2 linked regions of the Nothobranchius furzeri genome follow. The protein of the gene in region 1 purifies or fractionates together with the protein of each later gene. This does not show direct contact. Links are inferred from orthologs where the notes say so. Each region holds a gene or a part of one and is shown in the gene's direction. Other genes may lie near its edges.

The links. The genes of interacting proteins can lie anywhere in the genome.
Region 2: the proteins of crkl (region 1) and GRB2-associated-binding protein 1 purify together in Homo sapiens (affinity purification with western blotting; 3 studies listed by BioGRID and IntAct, with this or other methods). This does not show direct contact. The link is inferred for Nothobranchius furzeri from reciprocal best matches to the Homo sapiens genes CRKL and GAB1.

Annotation. Positions count from the first base shown.
Region 1 is NC_091746.1:46,866,951-46,873,484, reverse strand, and holds the end of crkl (crk-like protein), read left to right. Parts: intron 1-2,161; coding exon 2,162-2,296; 3' UTR 2,297-4,053; downstream 4,054-6,534. UniProt on the Homo sapiens protein: May mediate the transduction of intracellular signals.
Region 2 is NC_091742.1:87,972,175-87,979,828, forward strand, and holds the start of GRB2-associated-binding protein 1, read left to right. Parts: upstream 1-2,629; 5' UTR 2,630-2,990; coding exon 2,991-3,065; intron 3,066-3,096; exon of another isoform or gene 3,097-4,496; coding exon of another isoform or gene 4,497-4,517; intron 4,518-7,654. UniProt on the Homo sapiens protein: Adapter protein that plays a role in intracellular signaling cascades triggered by activated receptor-type kinases. Plays a role in FGFR1 signaling. Probably involved in signaling by the epidermal growth factor receptor (EGFR) and the insulin receptor (INSR).

The DNA of each region.
Region 1 (6,534 bases):
AGCAGAATTGCTAATGCTAAGTTAGTGGGTAGCATTCTCACACGCAAGTGTGGTTCAGAAAAAAACGTGATGGTTGTGAATGACTAAACTCCACAAGCTGAAGAAAAATCCCCACCATCCCATTTATTTGTGGATCTCTGCAGCTGTGTGGGGCAAAGCCTCTGCAACTACCGTCTGGTTGTTGCTACGAGTCTGCTCCGTCTGCCGCAGAAGGCTTTGGCAAGCCGTTGTAGCATATAATTCGCTAACCCTTTTACATTTCAATGCAATTTAGACTAGATTATGTTGCCAACCCATACATAATAAAATAAATATACCACAAGTACTTTGTTACAAGTAGAAATTTAATGTTAGCATTTCTAGTAGCTTACTACTGAACATGTTAATGAAATAATCACATTCTACTCATTATATGTGAATATTTTATATATGTTTTTTGACTAGAATGAGGTAAATACAAACTTAAATAGTGAATGAAATGTAAGTTAAATGTTGTTCCATAAAATATTTAACTATAAATATCAGCTGGGAAAGGGGGAACTAGACAACACCAATTTAATATATATTATTGAGCCTTTTATAATTTTGCTTTTTATTTTCATATTTTTAGCAGCAGACCATGATCTCATTTCACTTGAAACATCATCTAATAGAATACTCGATTAATCGATGTAAGATAAGATAGAATACTCGAATACTAAAATATTCGATAGCTGCAGACCTACATACAAGCTAAAGCATATAAGCATAAAGCTGTGAAGATATTCTTCAACCCCTATTTCCATTCCATTAGCCACTGATAGAAAATATACAGGTCAACGCTCAAATGGGAGAAGCCAGTGACATCGTGTCATCATGTCAAGTTAGCCTTCACATACTGCCCCATCTTGGCTCGTAACAGGGGAGGCTGTTGTTGGTTTAGTGTCCAGAAGAAGGTAGAGAACTTACTGGCCGGTAGAAGCTAACCGTTAGCATTAGCAACTCCACCATACAGCAGAACTTCTCCGACTTTGTGTTATTTGTGGTGATAAAGCATCAACGTTACAAAGTAAACAAAGTCAGAGGTGAAGTCACGTTGCTGTTAGCCAAGCAGAGTCAAGATGTTCAAATATCAGTAAATAAGACTCCAAATCCTGCTGTCTGAAGCTCACCTCTGCTGTGGCTCACTTCTACCTTCTACCCCCTGAAACAGGCGTACCAGAGCTTTATGTTAAAATGACCTGTATTTGATATAGCGCCTTCTAGAGTCCCGGAACCCCTCAAGGTACTTTACAACACAATCATTCACACTCCCATTCACACACTGGTGGGGATGAGCTACAATGTAGCCACAGGTGCACTGACAGAGGCGAGGCTGCAGAGCACTGGCGCCACCGGTCCTTCCGACCACCACCAGCAGGCAACGTGGGTTAAGTGTCTTGCCCAAGGACACGACGACAGACTGAGCGGGGCTCGAACCTGCAACCTTCTGATTACGGGGCGAGCACTTAACTCCTTTGCCACCGTCGCCCCACTGAGACATGAAAATTCTTGGTAAATAAAAAACCTGGTCTGAATACTTAGGACCATGTGATATTTCAGTTTTTCATTTTTAATAAATCTGCTTAAATTCTTTAAATTATTTGTTTTTCGGTCAATATGATGTGCTGTTTGTAATTAATGAGGAAAAAATGGCAGAGGATCCCCAAACCCAGGTGTAAGAAACTTGTTGCATCGTTACCAAGAAGACTCATGGCTGTATTAGCTCAACAGGGTGCTTCTACTAAATACTGAGCAAAGGGTCTGAATACATGTGATAGTTCAGTTTGTCTTTTTTAATAAATCTGCTTAAATGTCTAAAATTCTATTTGATTTTAGCAAATGTCTGCAATATAATAAAGAGTGAAAAATTGACGGGGGTCTGAATACTTTCTGTACCACTGTATATACTTTAATAGATAGTTGTTCTAAATGTTTTATTCCTCTGATGGTTCCCTTGCTAACAGCCTAGCAAACAAAACCTCTGTTGCTGGTGCTATTTGAAACGCAGTAACTCCTTTTTCTAGGTAACAACAGTTTGAAAATGTGTTTATTCCCGTCCCACTGAGATATCTTTGCTCCCCTTAAGCTTAGTTATATTTCTGTGTAAAATATTAATGAAATCTGTCTCTCCTTCCCTTAGGTCGGGGATATTGTTAATGTGACACGAATGAACATCAGCGGCCAGTGGGAAGGCGAAGTGAATGGACGAAGGGGTCTCTTCCCTTTCACCCATGTCAAAATTATAGATCCCCTGAATCCTGATGAGAGTGACTGACTCAGGAGTTGAGCTGAAGCCTCTCGACACGTACCTGAAGCAGCTGGCCGTGTCTGCCTCTCCCCAGCGGTGTCGCCATTATGTTCCTGCCTGCTTGGGGGCTGTGCTATGACGGTGACCCCATCTGTTCATGTTGCCAGCTGTGGCAAGGCTTTCTGACCGTTTACAGCTGTGGACACCAGAGCTCTACGAAAACATGAACTATTGTCCCTTAGTTCATTTTATCTTTCTGTCGTATTTACAGAGGGCAGTTTTGTTTTCCAGAACATCACTGGGCATCAGTCGTTTTTGCATGTAAAAGTGTGCGCACGTGCGTGATATGTCTTTTTTTTCTCTCTCTCCCCCTGAACATTTGTCTTGTCAGAAGTCTTGGAGAGTGTGTGTGTGTGTGTGTGTGTGTGTGTGTGTGTGTGTGTGTGTGTGTGTGTGTGTGTGTGTGTGTGTGTGTGTGTGTGTGTGTGTGTGTGTGTGTGTGTGTGTGTGTGTGTGTGTGTGTGTGTGTGTGTGTGTGTGTGTGTGTTGCAAGGGAAAAGGCATTATCTGTGTAACCTTTAGAGCACTGGGCCAACGAGGAGCTGACCAGCCAGTAACCCCCCCCCCCCCCCCCCAAATCAAGACCCTGTTGTACCACACACGTTTGGCTGTGAGTTGATGAGTGACTGATTCATTTCTGTTTTAATTTATTTTTATCCGTAAAATCAAAAAGATTGAGAAGAAAAGGCATTTCTGCAGTTTTTTGCCATAATTTGCCACCATTTTTATGTCCTTGTGTTGATTCCATTGCTATCTTTGTTTGTGCCATCTGATCAAAAAATTGATTTTACTTATCTTGAAAACTTCAATGCCATACAGTACCTCTTTAAAATTAGTTAGACATTTTTTGGAGTTACTGTGACCAAAACCAACTTTGTCCCTCTAAGTGCCAAGCCTCTGCCTGGGTCATTAGTAATATGGTCAGCTTTTCCCTCCAGAAACGACTAAAGTCTAAAATGCTCCTTTTGGTGACGGGCGCCAGGGTAAGCGAGATGTTCAGCAAACCAATGAAATCCCACGAATGCCTTCTGAATAAGACTTCTGCTTTCAGTGCATGAGAGCCCATCTCAGACTGACTATTTTAAATGTTATTAAAAGCTCGGATTGTGCACGTCTTTCTTACTGTGCAACAACCAGCAGGACCTCAAGATTGAACAGAACTAACGTAAAATGTCTCTTCCCTCTCCATCTCTAATTTGTGTGCGTGTGTGTGGTCAGACTTGGCATTTAAATTGTGCTTTTAAAAGTTTTTTTGTGTACGTGTGTCTTTTAAAGTGACTTCCAAAAGGGAAAAATGCCTGCTGGTTGCCCTACGTGCATGATCTCTTGACCGAGGAAACGGTTCACCTGGACGAAAAGCTGCTTTTTGTTATATTTTATTGGATAAAAGTTTTAATTCTAGCTGGTATGCGTGGACATCCGAGTGGGTTTTTCATGTTAAAATTAATAAATTCTAATCGAGCAATACACGCTGATAGTTTCCTTACCTGAGGTGAACTTGCTTTTCTCTCGCTACCCAGTTATTTCATAAAGACATTAACAGTATTACGTGCTCTCGCCTCGTATTCTAGGAAAGCCTGTCCTTTACTTAAGAACTGAAAATTGTGCCTTTTTATTTTCTTATGCCATTTACATGTGTTAATATTTCCCATGGTTAACACCTGTGCTGGTATTGACCCTTTATGTACAGAACAATTAAATAAAAAGTATGTCTACTTCTTTAACCTGTGTGTTTCTGCTCTTGCCTATTAGCTTGTTTGTGCTGCACAGATGGGTGTCTGCAGCCATCCTCTGTTGTGTTTCTGGAGTGCAGGATGGTTGTATTTGCTCTCATTTTTGACAGTTCCAGTTTAGAGTGCCTGGGCCCAGGAGAAAGGAAGCAATTAATGAATTTTAATGAAGTGCTAAGAAAAGAACATCAGCTGACCCAGAGATGAAGAATGGCAAGTTTTTCAAGGGCAGAGTTTCAGTTGTTTGTCCGGGACAGATGTTAGCGATGTGCTGTAGGTTCTAGAAGTTTGTTACAAAAACCTCGCTAGTACGGAGTTGGACCCACTTTGTCTTCTGAACTGCCCTAATTTCTCACGATGTAGACTAAAGGAGAGATTCTAGACGCAGAGATTCTGGTCCTTGCTGCATCATTACACCGACAGCAGCATTATGCTTTGATGAGGCAGGATGGATTCATGCTTTTTAAACTAAATTCTGCAGCAACCATCTTGAAGTTGCAGCTGAAATGATACTCATTAGACCAGGAAATGTTTTTCCAGTGTTCAGTGGTCGGGTTTCGATGAACCTTTGTGAATCGTTGCCTGCGTTTTCTTCTAAGCTGACAGGAGTAGTGGTCTTCTGCTGCTTCAACGTGTGCTGTACTGTTGACCTCATCTTGAACTGGTGCCTATTTGAGCTGCTGGTGCCTTTCTCTCATACAGAACCAGTCTGCTCCCATTTGCTGTTCACTCTCTGTAGACCCTGTTTCTTTAACAAAATTTGCTCATGACCTCTAGATGCCTGAATGCATTGAGCTGGCTGACTGTAGATGGTTGTCTTAAGCAGATGAACAAGTGTACCTATGAAAAGGTCAATAATTTGAAGTCAAATGATTGTCTGTGTGGAAGACTAAGGGATCCTACCATTGACATAACCTCCACTCTCCCTGCCTTAGGCTACAGTAGAACGTCTGCATGTGCACTATCATGCAGCTTATTGATTGGGCTTTCCAGGAATACTGTTAATGGCTCACAATCAGAACCTTAATTCTGGTCCACAAAAGTCCTTCAAGTATAATTAAAACTGCTTTTTTTCTGATAAGAGAAAAAAAAGTTTAATTCTAATGTTTTGGTAACTATAATTAAGTGTATGTAAACCATAGGGTTTAATGCATTCAGTATACACGCTTGTCATCAAAGATAATCAATGTATTCCTATGGGCAGCAGGTGATTGGTCATGGCTCCTGTGTAAATGAGCGTAATGAATCAAACTTAGCCGAGTCTGACTTGTCCTCGAGGCGCAGCTTGTGTGTGTTAATGTGTATGTAAATGGATTTGTGTTGAGGTCGATGATGGCCTTTCTACAGTCCATTAGCATTGCTGCTTTTAGGCCAGCTTCGGTGCCAGATGGTTTAGAGTGTGTCCCAGTTTAAAAAAGGGCTTTAAAGTATTAATGGAGAATATATCTGCATGTAAAGACGGGATCTCCGAAATTAAAGTGTAAAATGGATAAATAATCATCTCACTCTTGTAGGAAGAATGCTGCAAGAGTTTGTGTTTATGGAAGAACTGTTGAATGACCTTAAACTTCCTTTAAATCAAGGTGGCTGATTTTTAGTAAAGTTTTTAGAGAAGCATCAGTTTTGTAAAAACCGAGGAAGTTAAAATGTGACAACCAGATTTATAAAATCATAATCTAAATACTATTTGACATTTCCTCCACAAATCTGATAATGCAGTTCTACACAGAAGCAACATGTTATATGATTGTAATTTTTTTCAAATAATCACAGAATCGATGGATAAGTGAGTACATAACCCACACACAGGGGCGTGTCCAGGGAGTGGCCTGGGGTAGCACATGCCACCCTTGGAATCTAATTGGCCACCCCAGGTGCCACCACACTAATTTCCCTTTAAATAGGCTTTTCATTGTCTACAAAAGGCTTGAGGGTAAAACAAAAAAAAGCATAACCATTGGTGCCACCCATGCACAAAGTTGTGCCTCACCTGGGCCACCCCATTTTAATAGATCTAGACACGCCACTGCCCACACATCTGAAATGAGTTAAATCTGGGAAAAGCCCTGACTACATTATGAGTCATGTGAAGCACATTTGTGTTGCCATTTAAACTCGAGCACATAAACGGACCCCATCTGTTCTCTAGAACTGATCCTAAAAGCAACAGGTGAAGAGAGACAGGACGATCTTGGTTTAGAATAACCATAACTATAAAAAACACATTTTATTTGATCATAATGACTGCTGAAATATAGCGACTGAAACAGTCGTCACTTTTCATGATGTGTATGTCTCTTTGTAAGCATTTTGCACAGTGGTATGAAGCTATGTCGCTGCATGTGCTCTAGAAAATTCTATTGCAGCTCTGCTCCCTGAAGCTTTGTGTGTGTCCCAGATTTTGTTTCTATCTCTCATAAAACATTCACAGTGCAGCAGACCTTCCTGCCTTCTGCTGGGGAGGCATGCCAGACT
Region 2 (7,654 bases), on another chromosome or scaffold:
TAGTTAGATATCTTGCAGAGGGATGCAGCAGTCTTAAAATTGCAAAGCTTCTGAAGCGTGATCATCGAACAATCAAGCGTTTCATTCAAAATGGTCAACAGGGTCGCAAGAAGCGTGTGGAAAACCCAAGGTGCAAAATAACTGCCCATGAACTGAGAAAAGTCAAGCGTGCAGCTGCCAAGATGCCACTTGCCACCAGTTTGGCCATATTTCAGAGCTGCAACATCACTGGAGTGCCCAAAAGCACAAGGTGTGCAATACTCCGAGACATGGCCAAGGTAAGAAAGGCTGAAAGACGACCACCACTGAACAAGACACACAAGCTGAAACGTCAAGACTGGGCCAAGAAATATCTCAAGACTGATTTTTCTAAGGTTTTATGGACTGATGAAATGAGAGTGAGTCTTGATGGGCCAGATGGATGGGCTTGTGGCTGGATTGGTAAAGGGCAGAGAGCTCCAGTCTGACTCAGATGCCAGCAAGGTGGAGGTGGAGTACTGGTTTGGGCTGGTATCATCAAAGATGAGCTTGTGGGACCTTTTCGGGTTGAGGATGGAGTCGAGCTCAACTCCCAGTCCTACTGCCAGTTTCTGGAAGACACCTTCTTCAAGCAGTGGTACAGGAAGAAGTCTGCATCCTTCAAGAAAAACATGATTTTCATGCAGGACAATGCTCCATCACACGCGTCCAAGTACTCCACAGCGTGGCTGGCAAGAAAGGGTGTAAAAGAAGAAAAACTAATGACATGGCCTCCTTGTTCACCTGATCTGAACCCCATTGAGAACCTGTGGTCCATCATCAAATGTGAGATTTACAAGGAGGGAAAACGGTACACCTCTCTGAACAGTGTCTGGGAGGCTGTGGTTGCTGCTGCACGCAATGTTGATAGTGAACAGATCAAAACACTGACAGAATCCATGGATGGCAGGCTTTTGAGTGTCCTTGCAAAGAAAGGTGGCTATATTGGTCGCTGATTTGTTTTTGTATTGTTTTTGAATGTCAGAAATGTATATTTGGGAATGTGGAGATGTTATATTGGTTTCACTGGTAAAAATAAATAATTGAATTGGGTATATATTTGTTTTTTGTTAAGTTGCCTAATAATTATGCACAGTAATAGTCACCTGTACAGATATCCCCCTAAAATAGCTAAAACTAAAAACAAACTAAAAACTACTTCCAAAAACATTCAGCTTTGATATTAATGAGATTTTTGGGTTCATTGAGAACATGGTTGTTGTTCAATAATAAAATTATTCCTCAAAAATACAACTTGCCTAATAATTCTGCACTCCCTGCAGATTAGATCTGACTTTTTACAGATTAGAATTTGATGTTTATTATCTCACCTAAAATCTAGAAGAGATTTGTTGTCATGTTTAAAAAAACGTTTTGTTTCTGAATTAAGAAAAAAATGGCAAAAAAGTATGGATATTTTTTTTAATGAGATGCTGATGTTAGTGGAAAATTAATTAAAACAAACATAAAAAGATCTAAAAAATATTACGGGTACTTTTACTGTCATTCTGTTGTGGAAAACATTCAATGAAAACTCTGAAAAGCTGCTTAAACCTGCATTTTTTTATTATTGTGGGCCGATCTATGTTATTAAAATGATCAGAGCCACTACTGAGTAATGTGGTAACTTGAGGGGAACAGTGAAATAGTAAAGCTTTTGCTGTATGCTTCTTCATGTTGAATTCAAATGAAATATATACAAGAAATATTTAATAATAAGAATAATCATTGTATGTATATGTAACAGTGATGTTAGGGCTAAAAGGCAGAATATACGTTTTGTGTGTTTGTTTTTTCTCATTAAAGTGGAGCTTAACGTTGTCCCATATTTGAGTTGTCTCTGTCCCACGTGTGCCAAGTTGGGATCTGGTCACCCTTAGGTGTGATGCGAGCGCCTCTACTTGGAAGTCATTTGGCTCACGTGCCCGGTTATTTTTGGGCACTGGAGCAATGCAGGGTGTTCTCCAGAGGGTGGGCATTCCCCCAGAGTCACCCCCCGTTCGCCTCCTTGTCATTAGTTCTATTGTTTTGTCTTCCCATGTGGAGCAGCAGTCCACAAACCAGTCGGTATGGTAAGTGCGCAGCTCCAGAGATTCACGACTAAACCTGCGTCTGTTTTAAGGGCAGAACAGCAGAGGCGCTTGTGCATGAACGTTATGAGTTTGGTAATAAAAACGGTTCAGTGTGTGTGAGTGTAAAGCTCAGGGGAACGCTGATGAATGATGTGGAAGAAAAAAACATTATAGTTTATTTATGAAATGTAATCATTTAATAGTAATTATCACAGAGTGGTGGCTGTGGTAAATATTGGTATAATATTACAAAATGATGCCTGATATTTGTTGTATTGAAAACTTATTTTAACATACAATCGATCATCAAGGGGGTTTCGACAGTTCTCAGAAAAATTTAGTAAAAACATTGAAAAATGTCCGTTCTCATAACTCGGGATTTAGTTTTTTGCATCAGAAGACCTGAAAACTGGCGACGGTTACTGAAAGTTTTGTTTGAAAACCATTCCTCACACATGGGGGGGGGGGGGATTTTTTTCCTGTCTAACAGAATAGGGGGAGTGAGCAGGAAGGGGAGGAGCCAAAGAGAGGGAGGAGAGGAGAGAAGGAATGTCTGAGCTGAGGGATTGTGTTTGGTTATGGAGGGAGGAGTGATTCTGTTGGGAAATAAGTCTCTCAGGAGGAGGTGTGACTGCGTTAGTCAGCAGACGCGGAGCAGCTCTGGTGTGTGTGTGGATGAGCTCCTCCCAAACAGGATTCTTCTCAGCCAGGGAAACGTGTGTGAGGACAGAGCTGATCTGAGGTCCTGAGTTGTTTTGGGTTCTTCTGATTCAAACTCCTGCCGGCTGGAGTCTGGTGCGAGGTTCTGCTGGTTGAGTCTGTGGATTCAGACGGGATCTTCACCTGATCTGACTCCCGACCGGCTGTTGACAGGGTGACTGACTAACCAGAAACATCAGGATGAGCGGAGCGGCAGATGTGGTGTGTGAAGGATGGCTGAGGAAATCCCCACCAGAGAAGAAGCTACGGAGATACGTGAGTCCTCTCAGTTTCAAAAACTCATCTATTTCTTTATTTCTAACTAGATTAAACACACTCCACCGGCACTGGACTGGTGTTGATGGATGCTCATCTGAGTATTTTTTCTTAACTTTAATCATCATCGGTGTGCTGTCACCGTGGACGTGAGTCATTTCCTAAAGCCATGACTGTAAAACAATAAACACGTCCAGCAGAGAGCAGCCGCTGAGCTGAGACCCAGAAACGTTCTCATCTAACTTTTGTCTGCTGATAATAAACCAAACTGTTAAATCTGGATCCACAGCACCAGGTTTCCATTTCCTACTGTAAATCTTTAACAGTTAACTCAACGGTTAGTGGAAACGACACAAAGTTCATTCTGCATCTTTAAATTCAAATCTCCAACACCTGATGCCAGAGAGCTGGATCGGACACACACACACACACACACACACACACACACACACCACATTTCTGACATGCCTTCCCCGTGACTTGACCTAATCTCATCTCTCCTCCATATTTCCTCCCGTTTGCAGGGAGAAGCAGAACAATGTCTGCGGTCTACTCTTCCATCACTCTTTCTCTTTCATTTGTTGTACTCTCTCTTCCTCTCCTTTGGTCACATGCCTTCCTTTCTCTGTTTGTACGGAAAGTAAAGGAGGACTAAATCAGAGCAAGAGGGATCTATTTTTAGTAGCGTTGCTGTTTGAAACCTTCAGTTCAGAGAAAACGAGCTCAGATATGGGACATCCCAGCATGCTTCTAACGAATCAGCTGGTTTCAGAGATGTTTGCAGGAAAAGGTTTTTAGGAGGGAACCACTGGACAGGACAGGCGGTCAGCAGGGGAAACCAAAGAGGAAGACATCATAAAAAAGATTTAGTCCTCGCATGTACAATCTAGCACACACACACACACACACAGCTATGTTTCCATTGTCAACACCATAAAACCAGACTCGAGCGGCCCTAAAGGCTGCAGCAGCCTCCACGTGTTCCTGTAAAGAATGTGGATGAAGTTCCTGCTGCAGCCTACCTCCTCTTAACCTCCCTGCTCTGTCGAAAGCAGTGTGTGTGTGTGTGTGTGTGTAGGAGAAAGTGCGTTCGGGTGTGAGAGAGTGTGTGTTGCGTAATAAACTAATCGCTCTCAGCTGGGCCTGCCTGGAAGCTTTTAGGGCATCTGGAAACGCGGAGAGAGCGTAAACGTGACGTCGCTGACGTCAGCGGGTGTACGCGTCACAGATGCGTTTATGACAGTCTGACGGGAGGGAAGCTGACCTGAAACTTGTTTTCAAATGTAAACAAGTCTGATTTCACATTGTTGAGTTTTATTCTTCATCCTGTGATGGAACCATTAAAAGTTCTCCATGACTTTCGGGATCGATAAATGAGTGAGCCACAGCCACCCTCTGAGAGTCTGATGGCGACGTCACGTCTGAGGTTTCATGGACTCGGCTCTAAAGTTGGTGAGAGAGAATCGACATGTAGAGGGTTCATCTAAATAAGGAGATGTTTCTTTTGGGGGTAATTTTAGTTTGGAGGCAGGAAAAGGGAAGAGATATTTTAACTCTATTGTAGCTGCTTCCGGCTGAGGTCAAAGGTCAAAGGAGCAAACATCAGGAAACCAGAGGAGATCGCTGCAGGAAAATAACTTATCTCTATTATTACTAATATGTCGCCTTCACATGATTAAATCAAAAATAGAACACTTCTTCACAGAATAATTTTTAAAAAGCGCTTTTTAAACTTTTTTTATTCTCTGGTTCAGTTTAGTGGTTAGAAATAAAGTTTTATGTGGTTTGCTGATGTTGCTCGGATCAAAACTCATCTGTCATCAAACCTCTCCAGTCTCAACAGTGTTTTTATTTTTTAACCAAATTACTATTTTTTATGCATGAATATTAAAGTCAGACATGTTCATGGAAACAGGCGGAGAAAGCACGGAGAACGCTAATATTTGATCCTGTTGATTAGAATCAGGATCTACTTAAAACATCACCCTTGTTATTCCTAACATCTCAGGGAGGGTGGGGGGTTGTGGGGTGGGGGGGTAACGCCTTATGTTTATGTTTATTTATTTGGCCGACGCTTTTATCCAAAGCGACTTACAATGTATAACCTATAGGGCATGTTGTGATCTGTGGGGGAAACCGGAGTACCCGGAGGAAACCCACGCATGCATGGGGAGAACACCCAACTCCACACAGAAAGGCCACAGCCGAGTTTCGAACCTGCAACCTTCGTGCTGCGAGGCAACAGTGCTAACCACTGCGCCACCATGCAGCCCTGATTATTTCATTTCATTTATTTATTTAAGGACCGTGCACATTAATATACGTTACTGTAAATGTGCCAGTGTTAGCCAGCAGGCTAATTTTCAACTGTAGTCCAGTGGCAAGATGTTATACTGAACACGATGGCTAAGGAGAAGAAAGAAAGAAAAAAACAAGAAAAAAACAGATTAAATGAGCATAGTAACTAATTAATATACAATTAAAACATAACACACAAAATAAAAACAAAATAGAAAAAAGAAATAAATAATTCATATACAACTCATTAGAGAATCAAAAGTAAGTGATAACTGAATAAAAAAAAATTACGAGTTAAAGAAAATTAACCATTTGGGCTCAAAGGCCCCCAGTTGGGGAATATTAACCCTTTGATGCATAACGGTCACTAAAGTGGACAGGTACTCAAAATTGTTATTTATTTAATTTTGCCATTAAGCACAGCTGTTGAAGACTTTAATGAATTTGAGCTCCTCCATTTGGACTTCAGTAAGTCAAGCCAACATATTTCGGTACAACTGAGGTGGACATGTAAGAAATTATTTGTAAATTATTCAACGTTATAAAAAATATTGGTTGAAATTTGTTTCATTCACACCCAAATATGTATGAAAAACAATTGTTTCAAAAATCTTGGTTGAAGATTTCATAATTCATGCATCAAAGGGTTAATTCATGCTCTAAATATGAATCGTTGTCGTCAAGCTGCACCTCTAAAAATACATCAGAACCGTAGCTGCACGGCCACGCAAGCATTTCTTATGTGCTCCCAATCAGTGTTGGGAGTAACGCGGTACATAAGTAATTAACTACTGTAATGCATTGCTTTTTGCTGTAATGTGGTAATGTAAGGCATTACAGGGAAAGAAAATGGTAATATTTACTCGGTACAATTGTCAGTAACGCGGTAATTACAATGCATTTTTAAACCCAGAATCTAGATGCGGGTTTCCTAAAAATTCTAATTGCGGGAAGCCTGAAAAAAGATCCAGTATCCACATATATGACGTCATTTATGGACTCAGCTTTGCGGGCATTCTATGAGCAGAGAGGACGCAGTGGTAATGGCTCAAACACTCCAGCTGCGTCCTGCGCGCGGCCGCTATTATATTCACAAAATCGCTCCACCAAAACAAAGTAATTCGTTTGCGATGGTTTATATCAGCCCATATTCTCTGGTACTTCATGTACTTTTCAGCTGAGTTCATAATCTGTGCACCGGTGATTTCAACTCCTTGCTGCTGGAGTGCAGCGCAAAGCTTTTTTTATTTATTTATTTATTTATTTATTTTTGTGTTCGGTAGATCCCTTTGGCTGATTAGTTAGAAACTAGGAAATCTAGTTTACAGTTTTTCTAGAAGACGGAGAAAACATGCAGCATGCAGGAAGGTTAGAGAGAGAAAGGGCAGGAAATTATTCACATAAAATCAAGAAAACAAAACAAAGTGCTTGAAAAGAAAAAAGTAGGTAGATTTATCCCCAACACACATTTTTACCAGTGAAAAGCAATAATATATAAGCATTTAATATTTATACATGTGATAGAATCAGATCACCCCAGAAGTCAGTCCCACATCCAGGGCCGTATCAAGGCATTTGGGGACCAAGGCAAATATAGGCTTGGAGCCCCCACCACCTCACTCCCTGCTCAGCTAATCTAAGATGGCAGCGTGCTGAGAGTACAGATCATTGTTGCTTTTATTTAACAAACAATCATTTTAAAGCACTGTTATTATATCTGACTGTTTTTAACAGCAATCCTAGCTCAGACACCACATCACTTTCCACATATATGTCATGAGCTCACTGAGCGTCACATGACCAGATTTATATTGAAGTTGTTTTGGTGAAAGTAACTTAAAGTAATGCAAAAGTAGTGTAATGCCTTACATTTTAAAATCAGTAATATTGTAATGTAATGAATTACTTTAAAATGAGGGTAACAAGTAATAAATAAGCCCTGCGCCTTAAAAAATACACAACATCACACAAACACCAAAAACAGTTGTGTTTATTCCAACAACCAGAGAACATAGCAGAGGCTTTACCGTGTAACCCGACTGAATAAACCCGGTCTGAAACGAGGCATGGCCAAAAGAAACGTTGCACAAAAGTTTCTCCGTTTAGAAAAAAACAGAAACAATATTTTCCTACGGACTCCCGCCTGCGTCCATCAGGCTGGAGCCTCGGGACAAGCGATTATCAAACAGATTGTTGGGGGAAGAGAATAAACACACACTTCCACTGCCACTTCTTACCAGCATTTCCTGTCCAGCTACTTCCTCTTCCTGTCTGTGTTGGGAGAGAACCAA